Arabidopsis thaliana: one gene and its partner. The protein of the gene in region 2 interacts with the protein of the main gene of each other region in a pairwise test. Each region holds a gene or a part of one and is shown on either strand. Other genes may lie near its edges. The genes, in order: HSFA1D and MBD10.

Region 1 (5,895 bases), 6.4 Mb from region 2:
TTTTTTTACTTCTTCTTCCTATATCTTTTTTTTTTCTCTCTTTTTATTCCTCATCTCCGCTCGGATCTGCTGCTTAAGCAAAGCTTCATCGATTTTGATTAAACTCGAATTGAGACCTTCCCACATTATTCCACCCATTGAAATCACTTGATTCATTTTGTAGAAGATTGATAACACTGAATCAGCCATTGTCGACTTGATGGATTGTGTTGATTGTTTTCTGGTGTTTATAATTCCCAGATTGATTTTAAGATGAGCAATTGAAAGAACAGTAATAGAATTGGATAAAACTTATTTAATAATTGAGATGTTGATTTTGTTTAATTGGGTTGTTCTTTTGTGAATTGTAAAATTCATGCGGAAGCTCACCTTGATCTTCTCTTTCTTAGCCATATTCTTAGCAACGATTCCAGTTTTCAGGTCAATGTCGATGTTAACGTTATTAGCAATTAGAATGCGTTTAAAATGCTTTGTTGAATATCTCTTCATTAGTTACGACAAATTTGTATGTGGATTCAAAGTAAATCTAACACCCATCGTAACAATCAAAGAGAGAGATAAACTATTTTTTCAAATAAACATAATCTGGAATTCTATGGGAAGAATGGAGAAGACAAGACCGACAGCAATTTTGTTTTTTTTTTTTTTTTTTTTTTTTTTTTTTTAAGAAGGTATGACATATAAAGTGATTTGGTATCAGTTTGAATGGATTTTTATCGGGTTTGGTCAGAAAACCGATTAAACCCAAATATATGGGGAAATAGATGAAAACTATCGATTTTGGGAAATATAAATCGAGAAGTATCTTTTCGGGGACATCTGGATTGTGGTCATACTTAGGGCTCTATCTGGCATGATGTCATAGTTATCATGGAGAAATAGACCGTTTGACCGACAACAATTTTGTTTTTTTTTATTTTTTTTATTTTTTTTTAAGAAGGTTTGACATATAAAGTGGTTTGGTATCGGTTTGAGTGGATTTTATAGGGTCTGGTCAGCAAACCGATTAAACCCAAATATATGGGGAAATAGATGAAACTATCGATTTTGGGAGATATAGATCGAGAAGTATCTTTTCGTGGACATCTGGATTGTGGTCATTGTTCGGGCTCTATCTGGCATGATGTCATAGTTATCATGGGAAAATAGACCGTTTTCCTATTACAATACATATGCCGGCAAAAAAAAATACATTTCTATAAGCTAAACCGACAAACAAACATATTTTCCGTAAACAAAAATAGATACAAATGGAAAAAACCTAGAATAAAGGAAAACATTAAAACTAAACAAAAACTTCTCAACCTCATAACTAAAGAACTCATAAATAAAGTACAAAATCTAAATATGAATTGAAATAAAATACAGATATGAAAGTAGAGATCCACATAGAGGAAATAAAACCATGACTTTATTTTTTAGACGATGTATTTAATATAGTATTTTAAGTGATTTGTGTAAAATTTACAAATCATATATTATTTAATTATGAAGTTAAAATTTTTTAATAAAATTTAGTGTTATTAAACTAATGATTTAAAAATCTACTTTTATTATTATTCAAAATAGTTTGTAGATTTAATTATTATTATTTTTAAAAGATTTGAAAAAACTTTGTTAGTTACTAATACATAAATCTCTGATGGAATTTGAAAAGATTGTAAGACAAAATAAAATTTCAATTTATTATTTTAACGAATTAAAATCGATACTCGTGTCAGGCTAGTCAGCCCAAAAAGAAAAAACAGAGCGTAATAGCGAATAATATAGTGACACGTAATAAATCATCCGCTTTTAAGAGAAAAAGCGAAATGTCTAATTCCGTAATTTCGTAAGTGTTCATGAGTCTCCCGTCGTCTCTCTTTCGTCCTCTCCATCGATTTCAAAATCTCTCTTCTGATCTATATCTCTCTCCGCCCATATCTCTCGTGAATGTTCTCTGAGAATTCTCTAGATCTTCAATCAAAAGTTATCTCTCTCTCTCACCTATTGTAAAAATCACCAGTTTCGTATATAAAACCCTAATTTTCTCAAAATTCCCAAATATTGACTTGGAATCAAAAATCCGAATGGATGTGAGCAAAGTAACCACAAGCGACGGCGGAGGAGATTCAATGGAGACTAAGCCATCTCCTCAACCTCAGCCTGCGGCGATTCTAAGTTCAAACGCGCCTCCTCCGTTTCTGAGCAAGACCTATGATATGGTTGATGATCACAATACAGATTCGATTGTCTCTTGGAGTGCTAATAACAACAGTTTTATCGTTTGGAAACCACCGGAGTTCGCTCGCGATCTTCTTCCTAAGAACTTTAAGCATAATAATTTCTCCAGCTTCGTTAGACAGCTTAATACCTATGTAATCTTCTTCCCTTTCCCTTCGCCTTTTTTTTTTACTTCATCATTTCTCGATTTTATGGATTTTGTTCCATTAATGTTGTTCCCATGGTTGCTTTATGTTTCTGAGCAGAGGAGTTTTGTATCCATTAGAATCGATAGTTAGTTTCATGAGTATGCTTTTTAGAGACTACTTTATTTGCAATACTTGATATCTTGTGATTGTTTAGTTTAGAACCTCACGGCTTTGAAATGATAGATATGTGAGAGCGTTGATGAAGCTGACTGTACATACAAACTTAGGGGGATGAGAATAGAGATGTATACCCTTTTTTTTTTGTCTTTGTTGTCTGTTTGACTCTCTGTAATCAGGTTTAGTAATAGTCGTAAGATAGTAATAAACCTTCCTGAATTTTCTCAGCATTCATTATAAAGGAGAAGAAAGAAGAAATTTGGAATAAGAGAGCAAGTCTCATGTTGATCATGACCTGAGTGCAAGGTTATCAACTTTCTGTTTTACTAATCTATCATTTTGTTGTAGATGAGTCAAGGTTTAGTGGAGATATCTCACGTCTTTGAAAACCTTAAAAGGCCAATGTGATCAGGAGTGCCTGGAATAGAAACTAGATCTTAAGTAGATATATGGGTGTTTAGTGTTGGAATATCTATATTGTTATTAGTGTGACTTTAAATCTTTATCTGGCATGTCAGTTACGGGAACCATAGGTTTGCTCTGTACGGTTGCACTTAGATTAAATACTTTTTATTCATATAGGCTGGATGGAGATTTTATTGTGTATATAAGTAGATAACTATATAAGCTTTGCTCTAAAGGTCATGGTGAATGGAGCTTGTACTGCATAATATTTAGAGCAGGATGCTCGTGATGCTGCAAGATGGTGAATGCACTTAAAGGAGCTTGAATTTTCTGCTGACAGTTCTTGTTTGCCAGTTATTCCTTAGTTACTGTCTGTGTGGTACATGATGTCTTACATGTTGGGCACTATTTGAAGCAAAATTCAATCTTTATGAGTTTATACCATGCAGACTTTGACATAAAGATTACACTGGTAGATCATAGATACTTTTCACCCTCTTAGTTTTCAGTTATCCCTATTAGATATTTTGGTTTTTCCTCGGTTTGGGTGGTAGGTAAGACCCATAATAGGAACATAAATAAAGTAGTTTTCATGATTCATATATTAAATTGACCATGATTGGTCATTTACTTGACTTCTGAATTAAAATTGCTCTTGATGCATGTGCCAACTGATCAGTTACGTCCTGTATATGGCTGTTTCAATCTGTGGATAGTTGGCAGTTAAAAGACTATGTGTTGAAGGTTTTAGATTTGCACTTCTAAAGCTGTCGGATGAATTCTTTCTCATTGGTCTTGGTGGAATCCATTTTCATTCCATTTTGCGTGTCTTTTCTTGATACAGGGTTTCAGGAAGGTTGACCCAGATAGATGGGAATTTGCGAATGAAGGTTTTTTAAGAGGTCAGAAGCACTTGCTACAATCAATAACTAGGCGAAAACCTGCCCATGGACAGGGACAGGGACATCAGCGATCTCAGCACTCGAATGGACAGAACTCATCTGTTAGCGCATGTGTTGAAGTTGGCAAATTTGGTCTCGAAGAAGAAGTTGAAAGGCTTAAAAGAGATAAGAACGTCCTTATGCAAGAACTCGTCAGATTAAGACAGCAGCAACAGTCCACTGATAACCAACTTCAAACGATGGTTCAGCGTCTCCAGGGCATGGAGAATCGGCAACAACAATTAATGTCATTCCTTGCAAAGGCAGTACAAAGCCCTCATTTTCTATCTCAATTCTTACAGCAGCAGAATCAGCAAAACGAGAGTAATAGGCGCATCAGTGATACCAGTAAGAAGCGGAGATTCAAGCGAGACGGCATTGTCCGTAATAATGATTCTGCTACTCCTGATGGACAGATAGTGAAGTATCAACCTCCAATGCACGAGCAAGCCAAAGCAATGTTTAAACAGCTTATGAAGATGGAACCTTACAAAACCGGCGATGATGGTTTCCTTCTAGGTAATGGTACGTCTACTACCGAGGGAACAGAGATGGAGACTTCATCAAACCAAGTATCGGGTATAACTCTTAAGGAAATGCCTACAGCTTCTGAGATACAGTCATCATCACCAATTGAAACAACTCCTGAAAATGTTTCGGCAGCATCAGAAGCAACCGAGAACTGTATTCCTTCACCTGATGATCTAACTCTTCCCGACTTCACTCATATGCTACCGGAAAATAATTCAGAGAAGCCTCCAGAGAGTTTCATGGAACCAAACCTGGGAGGTTCTAGTCCATTACTAGATCCAGATCTGTTGATCGATGATTCTTTGTCCTTCGACATTGACGACTTTCCAATGGATTCTGATATAGACCCTGTTGATTACGGTTTACTCGAACGCTTACTCATGTCAAGCCCGGTTCCAGATAATATGGATTCAACACCAGTGGACAATGAAACAGAGCAGGAACAAAATGGATGGGACAAAACTAAGCATATGGATAATCTGACTCAACAGATGGGTCTCCTCTCTCCTGAAACCTTAGATCTCTCAAGGTAACTAAAGATCAACTTTAGTAGTTGTCTATCAAACTCTAACTATTCAAGTTTAATTGCTTAGTTATTTATATTATGTTTATTTCACTCAGGCAAAATCCTTGATTTTGGGAGTTTTTAAAGTCTTTTGAGGTAACACAGTCCCTGAGAGCAGCATATTCATTTTTCATACGCTGATCTTTTATTTCTTCTTTCTTGTATCAAAGTGGTTTAACATTACTGCTTCATACAACTCTCAATTTTACACAAATTCTCTATCAATATGAGAATCTGTGTCATGTTTCAGTCTCTTGTTTGAACTTTTCGCTTATTTTGCTTGAAGAAGAGCAATGCGAACTTATTAAGTCAACATAACTATTCATCTGTTCTCTTTTTTTGACATTATTAATCCTTCATGAATGCCGAATAAATCCAAACTAAACTAAAATTCATAACTTCACAATACCAAAAATTTCATACAAAACATATTGAACCGAGTCTATGTTTAGTGTAAACTAAACCGAACTATTTCAAATACCGTAAAACCTCTATAAATTAATATTCAATAAATTAATAATCTTTATAAATTAGTAAATTATTTCGGTCCCGATTTGAAACCAATGTAAAAATTGATACAACTCGGATAAATTAGTAAAATAATATTTTTTTTATGAAAATCTTATATAAATAAATGGTCTCATCAATAATATAAATTAATAATTGTATAAATTTACCAATATATATCTATATATAATATTATAAATATCATATGTAAAAAATGACTAGTTATGTTTTTCTTCAGTTTTTATTAATTTTTTGTAGTGTTGAATTCTAATATTTTACAACATCAAATTTCTATTTTTATTTTTTAAATTTAATAATTGTTTTCTACTTGTAATTGTGTTTCAGAAATACTATTGATTATAAAGAAAAAAAAACTTTTTATATCAAATTTTTTGTTAGAATTAACAAAATTTATACA
Region 2 (4,644 bases):
ACACTATTGCAGGAGTTGAGTTGATTGAGTCTGCCTCTGCTTACAAGATGCTTACTCAGATGGATCTCTTGCGTTTCCTTAAAGACCATCACTTTGATGACCTCAAAACTGTTCTCTCACGCTCCATCTCTGATCTCGGAGCTGTTAATGATTCCGTTTACGCCATCACAGAGAGAACCACTGTTTCCAATGCCATCAACGTTATGAAGGGTGCTCTGCTCAACGCTGTCCCCATCGTTCATGCACCTGATATAGCACAAGAGGATCATCTGCAGCTAGTCAATGTAGGCTTCATTTTACATATATACTTTGGTTAATATATAATGTTTACTCATTTTGTGTTTTTTGAGATTGCAGGGGAGACATAGAAAAGTGATAGGTACGTTTTCAGCAACTGATTTGAAAGGATGTCGCCTACCGGAGTTGCAAACGTGGCTGCCACTCACAGCTCTGGAGTTCACCGAGAAAACTTCGGGGAAGGAGAGGGAGGTGGTGAGTTGCGGTGTGGAGTCGACTATGGAGGAAGCTATAGAGAAAGTGGTGACCAGAGGAGTGCACAGAGTATGGGTGATGGATCAACAGGGTCTGCTTCAAGGAGTCGTCTCCCTCACTGATATCATACGCTCCCTAAGATCTACTCTTTCGTAATCAACGAGCTCTCTGTGTTTTTACCTCTTTTATCTTATTATGTAATGTTCTACTTTGTAAGATCTACTCTTTTGTAATCAAAAAGCTCACTTTGTTTTTAACTTTTTAATCTTTACCATGCAATCTTCTGCTTTGGGACTTGGGTGTTAGGATTCATTCACTTTGCATCACTCGTCTAAGTATGAGACAAAGGACAGTCTAAATGCCTAATATTAATAATACAACAAAGTACAAAGGTACAAAGATACAAACGTCAAATGATAATGGACTGAACTACAACATAGAGAGACATTAGTTCTACCAACACATACAACAACCACTCATAATGTTAATGCTACACCTGAAATCACAACAAACTCTTCACGCTCTGTGCTCTGTACAGAACGATATAGGTTTTAACAGCTCACGGAAGCTGCAGCTCCCTGCTGCTGTTGAACTTGATTCGCCTCCAAGCTTCTGTTTGTGTCTTCTGCCTTCATGTCGTTACTCTTCTCCTCTGCTACTGCAGCTTCGGTCTTCTTGACATCAGACTCTTGGGTTTCGTTCTCCTTATTTGCTGCAGCTTCTGTCTTCTTCTCATCAGATTCTTGAGTGTCATTTTCCTTATTCGCCTCAGCTTCTGTCGTCTTCTCATCATATTCTTTGGATTCTTTTCCCTTATCTGCTTCAGCATCTGCATCAAGGTTAGGCTCACCCAGGGTTACATTCTGTTCTCCGTTAGCTTCGGTTGTCACGCTGCCCTTGTTCTCAGTCTTTTCCTCTGCAGGCTTCTTCTCTACATCAGCCTCAGTAACAACTTCCTGCGCCTCTTTCATTTCAGTGTCCTTGAGGCCTTCAACTTTGGAAGGTTCTTCAGCTCCTTCTCCACTCCCAGCCTTCTTCTCCAACTCAGAGGTATCCACTTCCATGGACTCTTTCTTGTCTCTCACAACTTCTGCCTCTTTGTTCTCAGCCTCAGCCTTTTCACCCTCCTTCTCCTTCTCAGCCTCTGCAATTTCCGTTTGACCCTCCTTCCCAGCCTCAGTTTTCTCACCCTCTTTGTTCACCTTCTCAGCCTCAGTCTTCTCACCCTCGTTGTTCTCCTTCTCCGCCTCTGCAATTTCTGTCACTCCCTCCTTCTCTTTCTCCTTCTCAGCCTCTGCGTTTTCCGTCTTCCCATCCTTATCAACATCCATGTTCTCCTTCACAGCAGCCTCTTCATTTTTCTCAGCAGCCTCCTTATTGTCCTTCTTCGTGAGAGAAGATCGTCTCTTCTTCAGGAGGGGCTCTTTGTCAGGAGTAGGCGTTGTAGCCTTAACCTTTTGGCTGATCCTTGAAGACCTCCTTGGAGTTTCCCCAGTTGTCCACTCAAACTCAGAGATGACAGGATTGCCAGGATGGGCCTTCAGGTACTGCTCCAACTGCTTCCGCGAGCTAATCTCTTCACCCGTTGGAGCCACAAACACAATCTCCGTCTTTCTCGGAGTACCGGCTCTTTTCGGATAAAACTGAAACCAAAACAAGCTTCTACTAATCAAACACCAAAGATACATGAACTAGCAGCAACACAAGGCACAATCTAAGAGAAACCCCCAAATTTAATCAACCAAATCTAGGGTTTCAAGAGTATTTAATCCAAAACCCTAATTTGACCTCCAAGAAAGCCCTAACCGTTAAATTCCCATCTAATTGGATAATTCAAAATGAATTGAACACAAAGAGCCCCAAATTCGACTAGAAACGAACATTTCTTGAAATCCCCCAAATTGAACATAAACCCTAAACCATGAGAAACAAAAGAAACTAACTTCAAGATAAAGCAGAACAGACAAACAATCTCTTACACAGACAACATCAATTAAAGGAAAAAAGGAATAATAATTACAGCAGAAATTTCAAGAAACAGTAGAAGGGACAAAGAAGGAAGAAATACCAGTTTCTTCCATGAAGCTGGAGCTGGTAGCTCAATGGAGACAAGCTCGTCTGTGTTTTCCATCTTCTTCTTCTCTATTCACCTGACACTGTACGACCAAGAAACAAGCTCCAACTTAAATTACTTTATCTTGAAACAAATTTCGGCTTTCTTTCCTTTCTGGTAATAGAAGCTGTAAGAACCGTTGTGACCCTAATGGATATGTTTGCGTGTCTCTTCTGTTCTGTCCTAATTTTTTTTATTCTTTTTTTATTTCAAACAAGAAATGATATTTCTTCCTCCACGTAATCCACGAGAGCGTGGATGATAAATTTACACTGGGTCGACGTGATAGTTTAGTGACAGACCTCTTTGAGAACGACACGTATCCAGTGTGGTCGACGTTTCATCGATGGATAAGGAAGTATCTGTTTCCCGCTTAATAAAGTAGAATGGAGAGTGGTGTTGAGGTCCGGTACGTGACCGCTGCTGTTTTCACGCCGAATATTCTTTTTCTGTTTTATTCCCACTCTCCTACTACTACTCTCCATGCTAAAAGCCCAAATCAACAGCCCAATTACTATTCGGAACATTTTTTTTGCTTTGATACTTTTAGGTTCAGATTCTCTTGTTGGCACAAGTCTAATCCCTAATAATTAGTGAAGAGCACTAATTTAAGGAATGTCCTCTAATCATTTTATTAAAATAAAATGTACATATATGTGGAAATCAAACACTGGACAGATCACCTGGAAGGTAGGATCAATGTGCAAGTGGGACATGAGACACAAGAACATGTCCTTAACAAAACAAAACAAAAATACACAAGAACATGTCCCATATTAAGATACTGATTAGTCAAACCGAGATATTGCTCTTAATTCTTTTGGACTGAAAGATGGTAAACAAAGGATATTTCTCATTTACGGTGAAAACGTATAAGCCACATTTCCCAGTATTCTCGATCAACTCCAAATGGAAGATGATAAGTGGTAACAACAAGGGCTTTGAGAAAAGAAAAGAAAACCGAAAAGAAAAAATAAATCAGAAATGCCCGAACCAGTATGTGTGTGTGTCTTCCAAGTCTTGTTCAGTCATATAGACCTTCTTGTTCCCAAATGTCCACTAGAAAATCCACCATTTCCTGTTTTCAATCAGTAACACAGTTAGTTGACTGGGTTTTTTTCCTGCACTCGGAGGAGTTTGATTACTTACGGTGAGAGGAATGGGTTGGGGAAATAACTTGTTGCTCCCCAGCAAGCTATCATACGTTGCTGTGTTCCAACTGCAAATGATAGACATATAAAATGTAACATTGCCAGACTTTAGCCCTTAGCTTTCAGCAAACAATAGTGTGTAACAGAGCCACTCACTTTAACTTGGCTCCTTGATTGTGATCCACCGGGTTGTTGGGTTTATCCTTTCCCACCCAACGCTCCCGTGTCTGATTCCAAAGAAGAAGACCTGCAAACACACAAACCCACTTCATATATAACCATCACAAAACACTAGACCACAACGCTCCCCTTCCGTGAAATCCAAAAAAGAAAGTACCTTGATTTACATATTCAGGAGGAGCATTAGAGTTTCTAGCAGCAGATTGAGAATCAAAAGTCTGATTGGATGATGATAAGCTCCCCTGTGAAGGGAAGGTGATGTTGTCCATATCAACTGTGCTTGTTGACCAGAAATCTTCAGAGACACTCGGTTTCTTACACGGTCGAGCAATGGAATTGGAAGGTGGATCCTTCAGACTGGCGGCAGTTGATCTGTGTTCTCTGTAGCAACCCACGCAGCCACTGCTCTGTTACAAAACCATAACTTTTGATCATTGCCCAAAAAACATCCTTATTTCCTTAGCAAAACATTTTTCTATAAAACTTTCAGAGATAGCTATCTCATCTGCATAAAACAACCTTATAAACACCATTCCCCAGCAATAAAATTAGGGTTTATCTATCATGAACATGAATCCCAAGCAGCACATAACGCAGGAACAAAGCCCATCAAACAGAATCTCAAATCCAAATCAATCAAATACCAAAACATTCTGCATAAAGTCAAAAACAGAAATCGGAAGAAGAAACGCACCCCATCGATATGTG

Evidence for each region.
Region 1: the proteins of MBD10 (region 2) and HSFA1D interact in a two-hybrid assay, tested with the Arabidopsis thaliana proteins (one large-scale study listed by BioGRID).

The regions. Positions count from the first base shown.
Region 1 is NC_003070.9:11,656,409-11,662,303, reverse strand, and holds HSFA1D (heat shock transcription factor A1D), read left to right. Parts: upstream 1-1,832; 5' UTR 1,833-2,069; coding exon 2,070-2,357; intron 2,358-3,777; coding exon 3,778-4,934; coding exon of another isoform or gene 4,935-4,938; exon of another isoform or gene 4,939-5,026; coding exon 5,027-5,039; 3' UTR 5,040-5,340; downstream 5,341-5,895. Other genes in the region: AT1G32337 (uncharacterized protein), read right to left, coding at 182-220, 370-489. UniProt on the Arabidopsis thaliana protein: Transcriptional regulator that specifically binds DNA sequence 5'-AGAAnnTTCT-3' known as heat shock promoter elements (HSE).
Region 2 is NC_003070.9:5,274,852-5,279,495, forward strand, and holds MBD10 (methyl-CPG-binding domain 10), read right to left. Parts: upstream 3,019-4,644; 5' UTR 2,624-3,018; coding exon 2,561-2,623; intron 2,136-2,560; coding exon 1,044-2,135; 3' UTR 765-1,043; downstream 1-764. Other genes in the region: AT1G15330 (Cystathionine beta-synthase (CBS) protein), read left to right, coding at 1-284, 358-648; AT1G15350 (DUF4050 family protein), read right to left, coding at 3,630-3,683, 3,755-3,824, 3,913-4,003, 4,094-4,338, 4,631-4,635. UniProt on the Arabidopsis thaliana protein: Probable transcriptional regulator. Required for nucleolar dominance that consist in the silencing of rRNA genes inherited from one progenitor in genetic hybrids.